Linked DNA regions of Pelodiscus sinensis. The protein of the gene in region 2 interacts with the protein of the main gene of each other region in a biochemical or structural test. Links are inferred from orthologs where the notes say so. Each region holds a gene or a part of one and is shown on either strand. Other genes may lie near its edges.

The links.
Region 1: the proteins of EYA2 (region 2) and SIX1 form a complex in vitro, tested with the Homo sapiens proteins (2 studies listed by IntAct, with this or other methods). The link is inferred for Pelodiscus sinensis from reciprocal best matches to the Homo sapiens genes EYA2 and SIX1.

Annotation. Positions count from the first base shown.
Region 1 is NC_134714.1:13,196,663-13,204,433, forward strand, and holds the start of SIX1 (homeobox protein SIX1), read right to left. Parts: upstream 3,073-7,771; 5' UTR 2,704-3,072; coding exon 2,144-2,703; intron 277-2,143; coding exon 3-276; 3' UTR 1-2. UniProt on the Homo sapiens protein: Transcription factor that is involved in the regulation of cell proliferation, apoptosis and embryonic development. Plays an important role in the development of several organs, including kidney, muscle and inner ear.
Region 2 is NC_134728.1:22,269,630-22,277,789, forward strand, and holds the start of EYA2 (protein phosphatase EYA2), read right to left. Parts: upstream 3,256-8,160; 5' UTR 3,235-3,255; intron 3,178-3,234; exon of another isoform or gene 3,002-3,177; intron 2,863-3,001; exon of another isoform or gene 2,486-2,862; intron 2,473-2,485; exon of another isoform or gene 2,194-2,472; intron 1-2,193. UniProt on the Homo sapiens protein: Functions both as protein phosphatase and as transcriptional coactivator for SIX1, and probably also for SIX2, SIX4 and SIX5.

The DNA.
Region 1 (7,771 bases), on a different chromosome or scaffold from region 2:
TTTTAGGAGCCGAGATCTACCAAGCTCGAGGTGAGGGGTCCTAGCAGGGAGTCCTGAAGGCTGTGGCTGGTCTGAGAGGCTGTTAAGCCGGTCAGGGAATAGTTGGAGCTCCTGGCGTGGCTAAGGTTTCCCTGTAATAGAAGGACTGAGTTCTGATCCGGACTTTGTGGGGGGGAGAATTCTTCTTCGGAGCTGGACATAAGCGGTTTGCCCCCATCCAGGGGAGAGAGCTGGTTGGGTTTGTTGGTGGATGTGTTGTTGTTTTCAGTGTTCTCCCTAAGAAAAAGAGAAAGCAGCGTGTTTGTTACAAAGTAGGAACAGCGTCGCAGTTAGTTCAGCAGCTTAAAGCGACGCTCAATTTGTATAATGCTCAAAAGAGGCATAAAACAAACAAACAAAAAACAACAACAGTGGCGTTTCTATGTTCTCCCTCACCAATGCCAGGAGGGAAGCTGGAGCAATTCCTTATCAATGTATCCGTTTTGAGCGCTCTCCCCACTACACTCGGGACAAGAGAGAAACTCAAGCAAGACCCACTCTCTTACGCGAACGCGTCTCATTCTGCGGGCTGCCTCGCAACAAATTTAGTTTTAACAAAACATTTGATTAGAAAAGAATAACCCTCCCCACAGCCAGTATTCAAAAGCACCCGGAAAAGTGTTTGCTATTTTAGCTACAGATCCATGGCTGGAGCTGCTGTATTCGGCCTATGTAAACAGCTGCACGGTTTCATGTAAGTGATGTGCATGGTAACTTGGGTGAGGACAGGGGCTTTTTTTACATTTAAAACCGCTCTTTCCGGGGGGGGGGGTCAAATATGTAGAGAGCCTTCTAAAACCGCTAGAGCTGAGATCTAACAAAGCAGGGAGGTAGCAGAGAGATTAGTGCGGGAGCAGGACGCGCACCGAGGCTGTGCCCCGAAGATCTGTCTCTTTCGGCTAAGGAGGAAGGGAGCCACAGGCCTGGTTTCCCAACTGGCTCCTTGCTGGGATTTAAATCCCGTTTGAACTACAGAGGTGGTTCCGAACCGGTTCACACAGCGGTTAGCGAACCCGCTTCCCTCCAGAGTAGGTCTACAAGCTCTGTTACCCCGGATCTGCGTGTGCGGTTGAAAGTGTCTCAGCCCTGACTCACTCCTGGTTAATTTCATAAGCGCGCGGCTGCAACCTCTCGGGTTTCTCTTTCTCTTCCGGACCCCGGCCACAGGACAGCCCTGCCAGACGGGAATACAACCCCAGCGCCCGAGAGGCCAGGAGCTGAATAAAAGGCAAAGAATGAAACGATCTCCCCTTAATGCCTCGCTCTCATTTACTTCCCTGTCCGATCTGCCTGCCACAAACTTCCCTGACTCCCTGGCGCTCAGGAGGGAAGGGATGAAAAACAAAAGGCAAGAATGGCCAAGGTGAACTCCACACAAGTCACTTAAAAGTTTAGTTAAGCCTTCGCGCTAGGCAGGTGGGGATGTAGTGTCCGGGTGCCAGGACGAAGAGCGATTTTTTTCAGAGGGTCTTTCAATGCCTTATAAATCGCCTTCTGCGCGAAAATAGCAAACCCGTTTTCCTCCAGCCTGTCATTTCGCCGGGGGGGGGGGGGGGATGAAATGCAGGTTTCGCTTTGAAAAAGTGACTCCAAAGAGAATGATCTGGCTAGTGGGTGCTCCCCCCCCAATGATCTGGCTGGTGCCCCCCCCCATCCGATTTTATTCTTCCCGGATCACTGCTCTCAATGCCAGAGGCACAGTATCCCCTGCCTGGCACCGTCTCCCCCTAAACCACCACCGGGCAGAACCCCAGCAACATAGGGATCACCTTTCCCTTTGGGGGCGCTTACTGGCCACGCTTTTCCATTTGTTATGTCTTCACCTTACCCAGCTGCACTTAAAAAAACCGCACACCCCCCTTCCGTACCTTGGGAGTTTTGCGGGGTGCAGTGCTACAAATCCTGATTTCGGCTATTCCCTGGCGCCCTAAGCAGGGCTGAAACAGACACAGATACCCCCATATTCCCCTCCCCAAATAACCCAAATTCTCCTTCCTTATCTAAAGCGTGAGCTTTCTGGCTGGCGCGCCCGGTGCAGATCCAGGCAGCCCCGACCAAGCGCAGGGCAGGAGGGGAAGGGAGGAAGAAACGGCAGGGCAAGTACCTTTCCTTCGCCTCGGCTGCTCGGTCCCGCTGCCTCCTGTTTTTAAACCAGTTGCTGACCTGGGTGGTAGTGAGGCCGGTGGCCTCGGCCAGCTCCCTTTTCTCGCGGGGCGAGGGGTAGGGGTTGTGCGCGTACCACTCCCGCAGCACGCCCCGGGACTTCTCCTTGAAGCAGTAGCTGGTCTCCTCGCCGTCCCAGATGGTGCGGGGCAGGGGGAATTTTCGGCGCACGCGGTACTTGCCCACGGCGCCCAGCGGCCGGCCCCGCAGCTTCTCGGCTTCCACGTAGTGCGCCTTGAGCCAGAGCTGCTGCAGCTTGGGGTGGTTGTGGGGCGAGAACTGGTGGCTCTCCAGGATCTTGTAGAGCTCGCGGAAGTTGCCCCGGTGGAAGGCCACCACCGCCTTGGCTTTCAGCACGCTCTCGTTCTTGTGCAGGTGGTCGCAGGCGGGCAGGGACCAGAGGAAGCGGCCCAGCCGCTCCAGGTTCCCCCCTTGCTGCAGCACCTCGCACACGCAGGCCACTTGCTCCTGCGTGAAGCCGAAGGACGGCAGCATGGACATGGCTGGGGCTCGGCGGCGCGGCCCTGCCGGGGCCAGGTGAGAAGCCGGCGCGAGGCCGGGCGCTCCCGGGGACTGGGCGAGGGAGGGGGGGAAGAGGGCAGAGAAGGCAGCGCGCGGAGCCCCGGCCTGGGCGCGAGCCGCGGGGGGGGCCGAGGGCGGGTGGGATGCTCGGATTGTTGCTGGGGGAAACTTTGCGGCTCGGCCACCGCCGCGAGGCTTAAAGCGCCCGAGCCGCCGGGCCGCGCTGATTGGACGCCCCCCGCGCCTATCGGAGGCTCCGCCAGGGGCGCGCGGCCTGCGAGGCAGCAGGGCAGCGCGGGGAGGCCCGGCCCGCCAGCCGAGTTGCTGCTGCTGCTGCTGCTGCTGGTTGGTGTCTGATGACTGAGTGGCTGAGCCTGTGTGTGAGAGCGGAGCAAGGGGGGCGGGGAGGGGGGAGCCGCTCCGTCCCGAGAGGGGAGACACGTCAGGGCCCTGCAATATGAGCCCCTTCTCAAGTGTCACCTAAAGGGAGCGGGGGCTCATCTCTGCACAAATCAATTATTACAGCCCTTAAGAAAGGTCCCCCTCCTCCCTCCCCCCGCCACCTCCTGGTCCCTTCCAGCCCTGCTCCTTCCCTGTGAGCTCATATTTAATTACCTTAATGTTGGGAATGAATAAATAACGGCTTGATGAATAGCTCATGCAGCATGATAAATAATAAAGGAGGGAGCCGTAACTTTGGGCTGGAGGACAGGAGGGCTAGGTGGTGGGGGTGGTTGTGTGAGGGTAGAGGGGGAGGCATGTCCAAGGGCCTCATTCAAAGTGTCTTCGCCATGAATTGCTGCTGAGGCACTGGCAAAACTGAAAGTGCTGCTTTTGGGGGGTGGGGAGAGGGATAAAGCGTTTAGACTGAAGTAGATCTGAATTCGAATTAGAGAAATCATCCCTCTAACAATTGTTTAGTTGAGGTGTGGACCCAGCTCCTAAGTACAAGATGATGTATAAGAAGTATAAGTAAACAGCGTCAGTGTTTGTTCTTGTGCCTTCCGGGTGGAGTGATGAACTTGGGTCGCAAATTTAGTAGAAATGAAAGGCGCTTCTGCACTGTTCGCCTTCTTTGTGTGTGCGCGCTGCAATATTTAGCAAAACTGAACGAACAAACGCCGCTTTAATAATCCTAATCCTCATTTGCACACCTTGTCTATAAGCAGGTATTATTTAAAAAAAAGATTTTGAAAACAATTAGCTTCCCTAAACAAAGATAATCTATTGTCAGTAGCAGGGGACGGGGTAAGCGATAAGAACAATAAGCAGAGATAAGGAAAGCAGAATGGTGGGAAGAGGGTGTCTTTATGACTGTATTTATCTTTGATTAGATAAGCTGAAAACAGAATTTTAAGTACACTTCAGAATTCTTTTGATTTAAGAATGAATTCACTTAGTGCTAATCACAGTCGCGATGCTCTTTAAAACCCCTTTGTCCTCACGAAATACAATTGGATTTTTTTTTACTTTAGACTATTAAAGTTAAGTGCGGAGGCTGACAGAAAAAAGCGTGTACTGGCATATCAGCTTTATTGTTTGTATACATTGATGCTCATAGTTCTGTTTTCCTTGACATTTGGAATGGTACATTTGTCTCTGATAAAGTGCCAGCAACAGCAACCTTCGTATTTTCCACAAACCGTTGATTCTGAGGTTTTATAGAGAAAAAATATATATAATCTAAAAGCACATAGTGAGATCTGCGCGCGCGAGTGTGAACGCAATATACTTGGCATTTCCGAAGTAAGCGTTCTCATCTACAGTGAAACAGGCTGAAAGCAGACGTTGATATTTATGTACGCCTAGATTATTTTTTAAATATATTTAATGGCTATTTGAGCTGTTTAAAGAAAGCCACTGCCCCCACAGTCTGTACAATGGCTTTACTTACTAAACTGGAGTCATGGCACTTCTATATACCATGACCATGTGTCTGGTAATTTTCCCTTGCCATTTTATTTTAGTACTTATGATGTTTCAGATGAAGTCTTAAAGAGCTGCAATGTCCTGCCAGAAGGAATGTCTCTACTTGGAACAGATCCTTATTGACAAGGCAGCTGTGTGGGGACCGGAACGGAGTCTTAAACCCAGCTCTAAAATCAACTAATACCCTAAAGTCTAGAGCAAGTGCGCAGAATTATAATATATGAGGTTGCAACTTTAAGTGATTGTCGCCTGGAATAGAAATTCCACGTCCAAATGCGAGTTTACTAAGTGATTTTTTGCTAATATTTTAAATAAGGAAATAAATAGTAATTTTCAAGGTGTTTTGAGCTGACAAATTGACCTAAAGGACTAATTCGTAAGCAGAAAGACAGATATTTATACCTGGTTTGTTGTGTATCTTTAAAAGTCCGGCCAAATAAACACTATTTTAGAATAAGCCAGTGGATGAAGTGAAATTGACAAGAACTTGACAAGAACTTGTGCATCGTCGGAACCCTTCCTTTCCTACTCCAAAATGGTTATTCTTCAGTGTAATCAGAAATCCAGTACCGAAGGGGCGTGTGCCTTGTTCACGCGGGTAGTATCTACTCCATCCTACATAAGAGAACCATTTATTATGAATGTTAATTATTGGCCCGAACTGGTTTTCCTAAAATGGAAAGCTTTCCCTGTAAACCACTGAAAGAGGTAAAATGACATGAATTTACAAACCACACTAACCGATTTCTCCTTTTAAAAGCACACAGACTGGGTTTTATTGTTCCAGCAAAATCATTTGATGTCAATAACCAAATAACAACAAAACCGATTGCAGGCTCCATAGATATTTTTCCCTCTGTAGAAAGAAAATAAGCACCATTTTAAATCTGAGTTCATTGCCCTGATTTTCTCTCGGAAAAAATGTAGGTAATGTTTATCAAAATATTTTGTTTAAAAATAATTGTAATGGATAGTTGAATATGCCTTTGACTACAGTATTTTTTCTTAAAAGCCTAGATATGTGATAAAGGGACATTTTCATAAGGCCTTAAATCAAATGTGCTTACAGATTTAATATAAAACAGGCCATTATTTTGTGCTCTTATATAATAAGATAGGGTATGCTTATAGCTATCCACCGGGCTAATCGAATATGTTTTAAAATTAAGAAGATCGAACGCAACTTTGCCAAGTGTATCAGCGTTTGGGGAAGAGTTTAGAAAACTTTTTTATTTATGGATTTGTTCAGACAATTTATTAGTGCAAAATTAAAATGACCGCGGATATGATGCACATCTGCGGTTGTGTTCTTCATCTGATGAGAAACCTCCCAGGTCAGTCCAGTCCCAACACCATAAAGATTAAAACAGTGACAACAAACAAGGGCGGCCGCAAAATTTGGAGGAGCCAGTCTACTAGTGAGAATAAAATATGCTCTTTAGAATGGGCGAACTGGAAGTGCAGTAACACAACGCGGGCGATTTCCGAACCTTGAGATGGGGAAATACAAAACCAGGCCATTAGCAAATGAGTTTTGTGTTGTAAAGGGTTGCTTTCCCATCCACTTGCTGTTCTGAAAAATAGATCACATTTCGTTATCTTTAGTGAGAATCTGCAACGTGATACCGGATCTCTGCAGCCCTCCTTCCCAGCTGCAAGGCACAGGGGAGACAGCCAGTTTCCTTGGCTTATTTCTAAACAATAAGGATTTGTATTTTCTTTATAAAAAAAAAAAAACCCAAAAAGGACAGAACTCTTTCCATATTATTTGCTGTTATCTATAGAAGCCTATGGCCCAAGATGCCTGGAAACCAATAGAACCTTTAATTACTTGTTCGTAATTGCCCCAAGACACCTGTAAAAACAAAGTTGGTGTCAGCAGGCATCTTGGGAGGGGCCAGGCAGGGAGGGAGCGTCTCCTTAAATCCGTCCGGTTTGTCTATCTCCTGAAAATATCGGCTCCCTTTTGTCCTGGATGGTTTCGTGGTATTAGAGCCCAAGCACAAGGAAAAACAATCAGGGGCAGTTTGGGGGAAGAAGGTTTGCAGGAGTTGGCAGGGTGGAAAGGGGGCAGTTTGGGATTCTCCTCCCTCGGAGGGGTGTGCAGATGTATGCTGCTGAATGACAACTGTGCCTCCCCTCCGGGTGCGGGGAGGAGGGGGGACTGGGTTGTTTTGTGGACAACAAAAACGAAGGGAACCATCATTCTGCTGGGCCCGCCTTGGTCCTGAATGCTTGGCTCCGAACTGCCCAGAGACTGAAAACGCAAAGTTTTGGGGAAGACGGAAACTTTCCCGGCTGGGAACTCCAAAGAACAGACCTGCCTAGCAGCTAAGGGATGTTAGACTGAACGAGGGGAGGGCCTATCTCAAGTGCCCCTACACCCTAAAAGCCAGCGTTGGACATGATTCACATAAGATAATAATGACATACAAAGGGCTCTTTCTTTGTATAGTTACCGGGGCATTTTTCAAAGGATTAGAGGTGATCACGCGTTTTCTTCTTTAGCCAGGCTGACAAAATGTGTATGTGTATTTCTTTACTTCCTCCCTTCGCCTTTTTTCCTCTTGAGTTCCCAGTCAAAGCCCCCCGCCCCCTTTTTTTTCTTTTGCACTAATGTACATCCTGGATGCTGGATCTGTCTAAGCTAAGAAGAATTTCCTTTTTGGAGGTGAAAGCCTCCAGCTCCTCCTGTTCCGAGGAAAGTGCTAGTGATGGTAATACAGGGTGACACTAAATAAACAGTTAAGTTGGGCTGGAAAGATGGAGTTAATTATCCAGTGAGCTGCATTTAAACCGAGACCATGAGGGGCTGATTTGTTTTGGCGCAGAGCGCTAAGAAGCAGGCGAGCCCTCGCTGTTTGTGCAGCGCTCTTTGCAACCCCTCGCTTGCTCTGCTTTTTGCATTCATCAGTATTGGGCGGCGGGGGGGGGGGGGGGGGCGGGGGAATTCCGTTTTAATTTAAAAAACGGAGATTTAAACAAAAAAATAAATCTTCGTCATATTGAGTGTCTGTGCAGTTCAGACAGATCGAGAAAGCAGCCACCCACCCATACACCCCCCGACAGCCGGGTCAAACAGGCAGGAACTGGGGACTTTTTAACCTTCTCCCACCCC
Region 2 (8,160 bases):
AATTTAACACGTCTGTATAATAGTAATGTCTGCTCGTGTTGTAACTTAGTATAGATTCTTAGAGTTTCTCTCCAACTAACATTTTATTCCTCCTAAATGAAGCTCTCTTATAATGAAATTTAAAATGACAAAGGTTGTGACATTTTTTAAACAATAGCGCATTTAGACCCTTTCAACCAAATTATGGTCTTATAATTAGCAAGTCATGGGGATCTAGTCTCACTGAAATATTTAAAAACAAAATGGTGGTGAGGGAATACAAATGATAATGTTTAATAGATAAATTTATAACCTGCTGTTGTTTATTTGAATAAATCTGTCACATGAACAATTTGATTTTAATTAATTTTATTATTTAAGATAAAATCATGAAGTACTCTTTTGAGAGGATTTTTCTGGCTTTTTTTGGATTTTGGAGAGTAGTTTGTTAAAAAACAATCATCAGGGTTATTGGCTGTAATACGCCTCTCCAAATGAATTTCAAATGTGATTTTTGAAAGATGATATTGGAACATATTCAATGCTACAAATACTTACAACTCTGTAGGACAACCATCTTGAAGTCTCTCATAATCACACTTACAATATTATGGGCCATCAATTGTTAAGCAGAAATGGAAATTATTTGTCTTTAAAAAGTGATGGTGCAAGATGGCCCAGAAAAAGAATCAGCCTGTCCTAGATTTTTAAATCTAACATCTTAGCGCCCTTTAAGCTGTTTTTACTTTGGAAACAAACAAACAGGTTAAATATCTGCTATCTTCTTGGGCTCAGCATGCAAGAACGTTCAAAAATGTCCAATACATATGAATTGCAGTGTCACATGAAAATAGAAGTCCTCGGTGTATTTGGAAACTATGAATGACAAAATACTCCATTAAAAGCATTCCAAAAGAGGAAAATTCTCAGTAAACCAACCAGCAAATTCTATTAAGTCTGAACAATTAAACCATTTTGTCCAGTTACATTAGGAGTGTTAAGGAATATGCATGTCTGATACTCTACCAAACAAAACAGTTTTTAATAAATTGGATGTAGACCAATAAAAGTTTAATTAACCATGTGTTTTAACAATTAAAAATTTCATCCAAGAGGAACATATTAAATCAATAGATTAGTAATTTGAAATACAGCGGCTGTATACCTGAAATAATTTCATTTAGCAGCATTCTCTGAATTCAACAAGCTGTGTTTAAGCGTATAAATCACACTAAAGGTTTTCCCCCTCTGTTCACTGAGAACAAAGATTTTGTATTACTTAATTTTATTTAAGTCTATAATTAAGTTACTTAGTTGTGGTTTGTAAATAAACTTGTTTTACACTAGTTAAATGCCTTGCATAGTGTTTCTTAAAAACGCCAGTTAACTAATTTAAACTAATTCCAGATATAAAACGTTAAATCTTATGCTCCAGTACTACATTTAAAAAGCCATTGCAGAATTGATGACAATGTTTTTGCAATACAGTTTTCTGACATTTTTTAGGTTACTTTTTTTTGGGCACGAAGGTATTCAGTACATCAAGCCTAAGCTAACATTTTACAACTTCACATTGCAGTAATTTCTAATTACTTTATTTTGATGTTCTTTTAATGGTCTTGTCTCTGTTCAAACTGCTTCCTAGCATGAGTGAAATGTCTCCAAAACAAAACAATGCATTATCTTGTGTTCTGTATTGCTGTAATAGGGAGCCTTAAATCTGAAATAAGTTATCACCCTACTTTAAATGTATGCCAATGAACCCAAAATAAGAATGCAATTACACTTACAGAATAAAAAATAGCCAGAGCATTTGCAGAGTGGAAGTATAAATAGAAGTACTTGCATCTTAAGCATTATTATGGACAAATAACTGGTACTTTAGAATGGAAATGAAAAACGTATCAAATTGCTCTTTAGTGAAGGAAAAATCTCTACTTTTGTATACTAAGTTTTACTGTCTGTCCACACACAGTCACACTCTTTTCCCACATGATTCAAAACTACTGATGCATAGGGTAAATCACACCATTATCGACTTATAGCAAACAAATATTCCACTCCAGCTCATCTGATGAAAGTGGGTTTTACCCACGAATGCTCATGGTCCTATACCTCTGTTAGTTTCTAAGGTGCCACAGGACTACTCATTGTTTTTAAAATTACCCCATGTGTTCACAGAAAACTGAGAAAGCAGAATCAATATTCACCTACCCACAATGGCATGAGGCTTAACATTAATTCAATACTCCGCTCTCCCGCTTCCAGCCCCATGAGCGAACTAGTGTCACCAAGGAAGATTTCACCCACAAAGAACTCCCTTCCTACTCTTATCAACACTATTTAACCCCCCTGCTCAGTCTCGTTCGACTCACCCTCCCTGCCTTTTGCAAACTGCTCCAAAACCATACGAGGACTGAGCAAACAAACAGCGTCATTTCCATGCTCATGAGTTTGATTTTCTGTTAACTGCTTAACCAGTGTAAAATGCCACCGATTCTCCTACCGGCTGCTGCCCCTCGCCGGGGTGGGCAAGGGCAGGGAGAAATACCGCAGCGACCCAGGCACGCCGCGGGCAAGTCTCTGCTTTTAGGAAGTGGAGGGAAGAATTTTTTCCAAGCGCGGCTCCTGCGAGGAGACAAGGAGCGTGTGCCACGACCATGCGGTCGAGTGTGACAGTTTCCTCTTCCTTCCCTGCGATGGGGCAGGTTGGGGGTATTGGTCTGGGGAGATGCACTGGCCGGGCTCCCCACGCCCCGCTCCCCAGCCCTAAGAAACAGAAGGCGGCAGCATGGGAAGGACCGGAGCTGGGTATTTCATCCCAGCGCCCAAACCCGGTGCGTAGTGCCCGCTGGGCACATGTCCCTTAGGCAGCAGCCTGGACAAGGGCGTGGGGAGCCGTGCCTAAAGCATCCCTGGCCTCTCCCCGCCCCGAGCAAGGGCCGGTGCCCAGAGCTCCCCAATGCCCCTCTCCGTTCCACCCCGGGGCCAGCGCACTGGCAGGGAAAGGGGGCGCACTCACCACCGGCTACGGACGGTGTTCGCCCCGGGGCTCTCAGCTTCCTGTCCCCGCAGCGCCCGCCAGGGGAGGGAGGCCGGGGCAGCTGCTGCGCGGCTGGGAACTCCAGAGCCGGTGTAAGAGCAGCCTCTGCCTGGTTTCCCAATGTGCCCTCCAAACTCCTGACACAGCCCCAGTGAGCATGTGCGGAGTGTGTGTGCACATGCCCGCTGGGAGAGTGACGCCTCTGCCCTTACCTTCTCCCCCGCCAGGAGTCCTCGAGCGACCCCGGAGCGCAGGGCTGCTGGGGAGACGGAAGGGCAGGTGTTAGACAGCGGTGTCACAGAACTAGCAGGGGATTGCAGCGCTCTGGTGCGCCTCTGCAGTACTGGAGCAAAGGATGCGGGGGGCAGGCGTGGTCCCTAGAGTGAAGTAAAAGTTGGAGCCAGACTTAATAACCAACACCCCCATAAAATCATGAGAGGGGTTGAAAAAAATCACCATAAAAACAATATTTGGGGATTTATTGTCGCTTGCCTGCTAGCTTGGAGCCTGTAGGGCGCACTTAGGCTTGAAAATGTGACCCTTCTCCTCCCACACGAGTGTTAGAAAAGAGAGAGAATTCGGAGAGAGAATTCTGAGCGCCTCAGGGAATCAATTGCTTGTATCCAAAAGCTAAGATCAGAGGTAAATCACCAAATATGACAACTTCTTGCCATAAAAAAAGCCACCAAAGTTGGCAGCACTCAAGAGCTGTTACCCCAATAATGATTTCATGGTGCCGTCAAGAAGTTTTCATAGGGTGAGATACACAGGGTTGTTCCATGTACATTGTGCAAATGTGTCTGCTAATATATAGAATATATTTTTACTCTTAATTGTCTTTCATATTACTCTGCATTCCTCTTAATTATCATTCTTGATTGTATTTATTTTGATTTTACTGACAATTGTTTAGCCTATTATTTCCCTCTTCTGAATTCATAATGCTTCTGCTGCTGTTGTCAAACTTGCCTCCTATTATAAAACGTTGTTTGGCTAAAGAAGGACCTTTACAAAATGTGACAAAACATAACAAAAACCAATATATGTTTTCCATCATTTAGAAATGCATAATAGTATAGCATGCTTTTGTTGGTTTTATTAAGATAAATAAGTAGCTATCAATTGATATAAATAGCCATTTAAATTGTCAACAAAAGAGATTGATGAGGTAACTGGTTTCAAAGTGGATGTCCAAATATCAAAACTTCTTCATAGAAGTTGGTTTCCACTACAGTAAAACAATTGTTTTTGTGGCAGTTTGCTCTTATACATGCTACTTCACTGACGTTATTTCAAAATAACATAGTCTGTGTCTACACTACAAGCAATTATTTCAACATAATATTGAAATAATGTCCAGCTGGAGGACTTCTTGCTCCAACTCCTGCAACTCTCATTTTACAAGGAGGATGAGAAGTTGGAGAAAGAGTGCTCTTCCTTAGACTTTCTGCTGCGTAGACAGCACCAAAAGCCTAAATAAGCTATTTCAACTTAAGCTACGCAATTGACATAGCTGAAGTTGCGTAGCTTATTTCGGCTTTAGCCCAGCTGTATTGACATGCTAGGGCCTGACCCTGAAAACACTTACATGAGTAACGTGATTCACCTGAGTTGTCCTACTGTGATCACGGATGTGCCAGCAACAGAGTTTTTCACAGTGCAGAAGATGTATGCACCACCCCAAGCAGCCCCTTCAGATAGGGAAAGCCTATAATTTCTTCTGTTAGGAGAGTCAACCCACCGCAATACAGGGTAGCTTGATACATGAGTCACACAAACAATTAGAAACACTCATACATGTCCCATATATACACAACAAAACCACGAGATAACACAGATGCATTCTGATCCTCTCAGTACATACACATTACTGATTTGTACTTATATGCGTGGGGAGACGTGCATAAGTACATACAGGGGCGGATGAGTTTTGCGAGGCTCAGGACACGGGGCCTATTGAAGCACAGGGCCTGGGGCAGCTGCCTCACTCGCCCTGCCCTATATCCGCCGCCGAGTACATACCATCTACCCCACATTCTCACACATACAGACAGTCTCTTCCACACATATTAATACACTCATGGATTTTACTCATTTGACAATGGAACAAAAACATCACTACTACTAGACAGCTGTTTTTACTAAAATCCTTTGGATCAGCCTGACTGCAAAGTATTCCGACATTTCAAAAGAAATCTAGAGTCCTGCATCAGTATGGAGCTAGAAGAGTTCCTAACATGAACTGCCTTCCATAGCCCCCAAAACCAAAACTCTTTCAGTTGTTACTCTCACTCTTCTCCATAAGTTCACAGAACTAACTCAAGGATTTGCTGCAGTTCTGAATTCATGTCACTCGTGTTAAATTAGCCTAAATCACTAGCCCGGATTATCCTTTCTCTGATTCTTTTCACCCGCCCAGAATTCTGACTCAATGACTGGTCCACAGGCTATCCAGAATTAACTATGTCTTTCAGGGTTAGTCTCTACAACACTTTCTCCTTCCTCCAATAACCTGATTGCCCTCTTAACTCGGCTATTTACCAAGTAGGTAAATATGGAATGGTACTTTAAAATGTCTTATATACAAAATTAACTCAGCTCCTCATTTAATTAAGTATGTTAGTGGCTGCACAATGTTATGCACATGATCAATCATATTGAACTCAGTGGCTATGTCTAGATTGGCAAGTTTTTCCGCAAAAGCAGCTGGAAAAACTTGCCAGCTGTCTACACTGTCCGCTTGAATTTCTGCAAGAACACTGACTTCCTACTGTCTGAAATCAGTGCTTCTTGTGGAAATACTATGCTGCTCCCATTCGGGCAAAAGTCCATTTTGCGCAAAGCTTTTGCGCAAAAGGGCCAGTGTAGACAGCTCAGATTTATTTTGAGCAAAAGCGAATCTAGATTGGCATGGACGCTTTTCCGCAAAAAATGCTTTTGCGGAAAAGCGTCCGTGCCAATCTAGACGCTCTTTTCCGCAAATGCTTTTAACGGAAAAGTTTTCCGTTAAAAGCATTTGTGGAAAATCATGCCAGTCTAGACGTAGCCAGTAAGTTTACTCATGTACTTAAAGCCAGGCACATGCCTAGCTTTATTATTATTATTTGTATTAGTGCCCAAGGACGCTCGGTCATACATCTGTTATGCTAGGTGCTGTACAAATTCAGAATAAAAAGGCAGTCCCTGCCCACCAAAGAGTTTACAGGCAAAGCAATTATTAATTGTGGTCTGAAACACTTGTTATGAGCGGATGGGCAAACAGCTCTATATAGTAGCATGTTGATTTATCTGAAGTACTTTAGTAATATGTTTAGTAGAGAAGTTTTGAAGGGGGGGAATTCATTTTCATAATTCAAAATATTTTGAGCCATTTTGATATATAGCTTTTTATATCACTTTTCATCTGGAGATCTTATAGCACTTAAGTCAGAAAAAAAAGTTTCATTATTTCCATTTTATGGCTGGAGAATCTGAGGCAAAAAGAGGTGAAATCATTTGTGATAGGTTACAGAACAAATCAGGATTAAAAATTGGGATTTCCTAACTCCCAGCCTTGTGCTTATTCCAATAGTGCATGCTGTCTCTGTGGATTAAATAACAAATGGATGTTGTGCAGACATATGTGAATTAATAACAGTTCAGAATCTATATGTCCAATTACTAGATAGCGTTTTTTATGTTCTTACAGCTGAGACAGTTGAAGGGCCATCTGGCTAATGCTCCCAGAAGGATGCTTTCCGTTAAAGGCATACAATTTTCTCCTCAGACACCTGAGAGAGAGAACTGTCTACTTTACCTTCATGTGGGAAAAGAATCAAGACCATAAGATCCTAAGCACAAGCAAAACTGTTCTCTACAACTAGGGCGTGAATGTAACAGTGACATGGACTCTGGTTAGTCATTCATAGATTTTACTATTTACTAGATTTGTTATTCAAAATGGATTAACGTTCTGCCTAACTCTGGGAAATATGGAACCGTACCTGCTGCTTTGTTTCACTGTTATAGCTATGTGTAGCTATGTAAAATTTCCAGAAACCACTTAATTCATTGCCCTGGGCCTTAGGATTCTTATGTATTTCCAGAAGGGTGGTGTCATTCGATTCAGAGCTGGTCCTGTGACTTCTAGACACTGAAAAGATAAAACTATTGCCCAAAAATGCAAGTGGAAGAGTGAAGTATATCCACGAGAGCTGAGCAGGATCCAGAATTTTCATCCCATGGGAAACTTGTATTTCTGAAAAGAAAAAAAAAAGAATTGGAATAAATCATAAGTGCAAAATTTCCCATGCAACAGCAATATCTGGGGGTGGGGGTAGGGAACAGATTCAGAAAACCTACAAGGGAATTTTTTAAATATTTTCTTCTGGCTCCCTGGCTGTCCTGCTGGCAAGCTAGTTGTACAGCCAGGAACACTGGATAGTTCACTCAGCTGCCAGGCAAGCATCCCAGGGAGCTGGCCAGCTGAGGGCCTAACTGCCCATAGAGTCTTAGGAACCCCACTTCTACGGCATTTTGTCATGTGGACTACTGAAGAGTTGGCAGCCCCAGATCCTCTGCAGCCTCCCAGGTCAAGCTGCTGGGGAGCTGGAGCAGAAAATTCAAGTTTTGTGCAAACTGTTTTTTCTGTCAGAAAATTATTCCAAGGGAACATTCCCCAACCAGCTCTAGTATTCACCCCAAGAGGCAAGGAATGAAAACTGTTACATCAGGGAAAACAAATGTTTCCCCAGTATATCAATCCAGGCGACAAAGGGGGAAAAGTTAAGCGTAACTTAGCAGCACTTTTTAGCTTCAATTATGACTTTAAACCAACTCCTGAAACCTACCTAGACATGTGGGAAGTTGCACGGATTCCAGTCGGGGTAGAGAAGTATGTGATAGGATATGATCCAGTATTGCCAATCCTAAGCATCCAATAATTATGAGCAAAACCCCAATCATTGGCTTAGAAATTATGAGATTTCAAAAATAAAAAGTTTAGAGTCCTTTTTGTCTTCTTGTATTTGAGTCTTTAGGGTTTTTTAAACTTTTTTTTGCAATGATGAAGGCCAACAACTTCCTCCTTCCTCATTCCCCATGAAAGATGTGATTATTAGCTAAAAATATGATTCTAGGAGTGAAGGGTATAAGAAAAA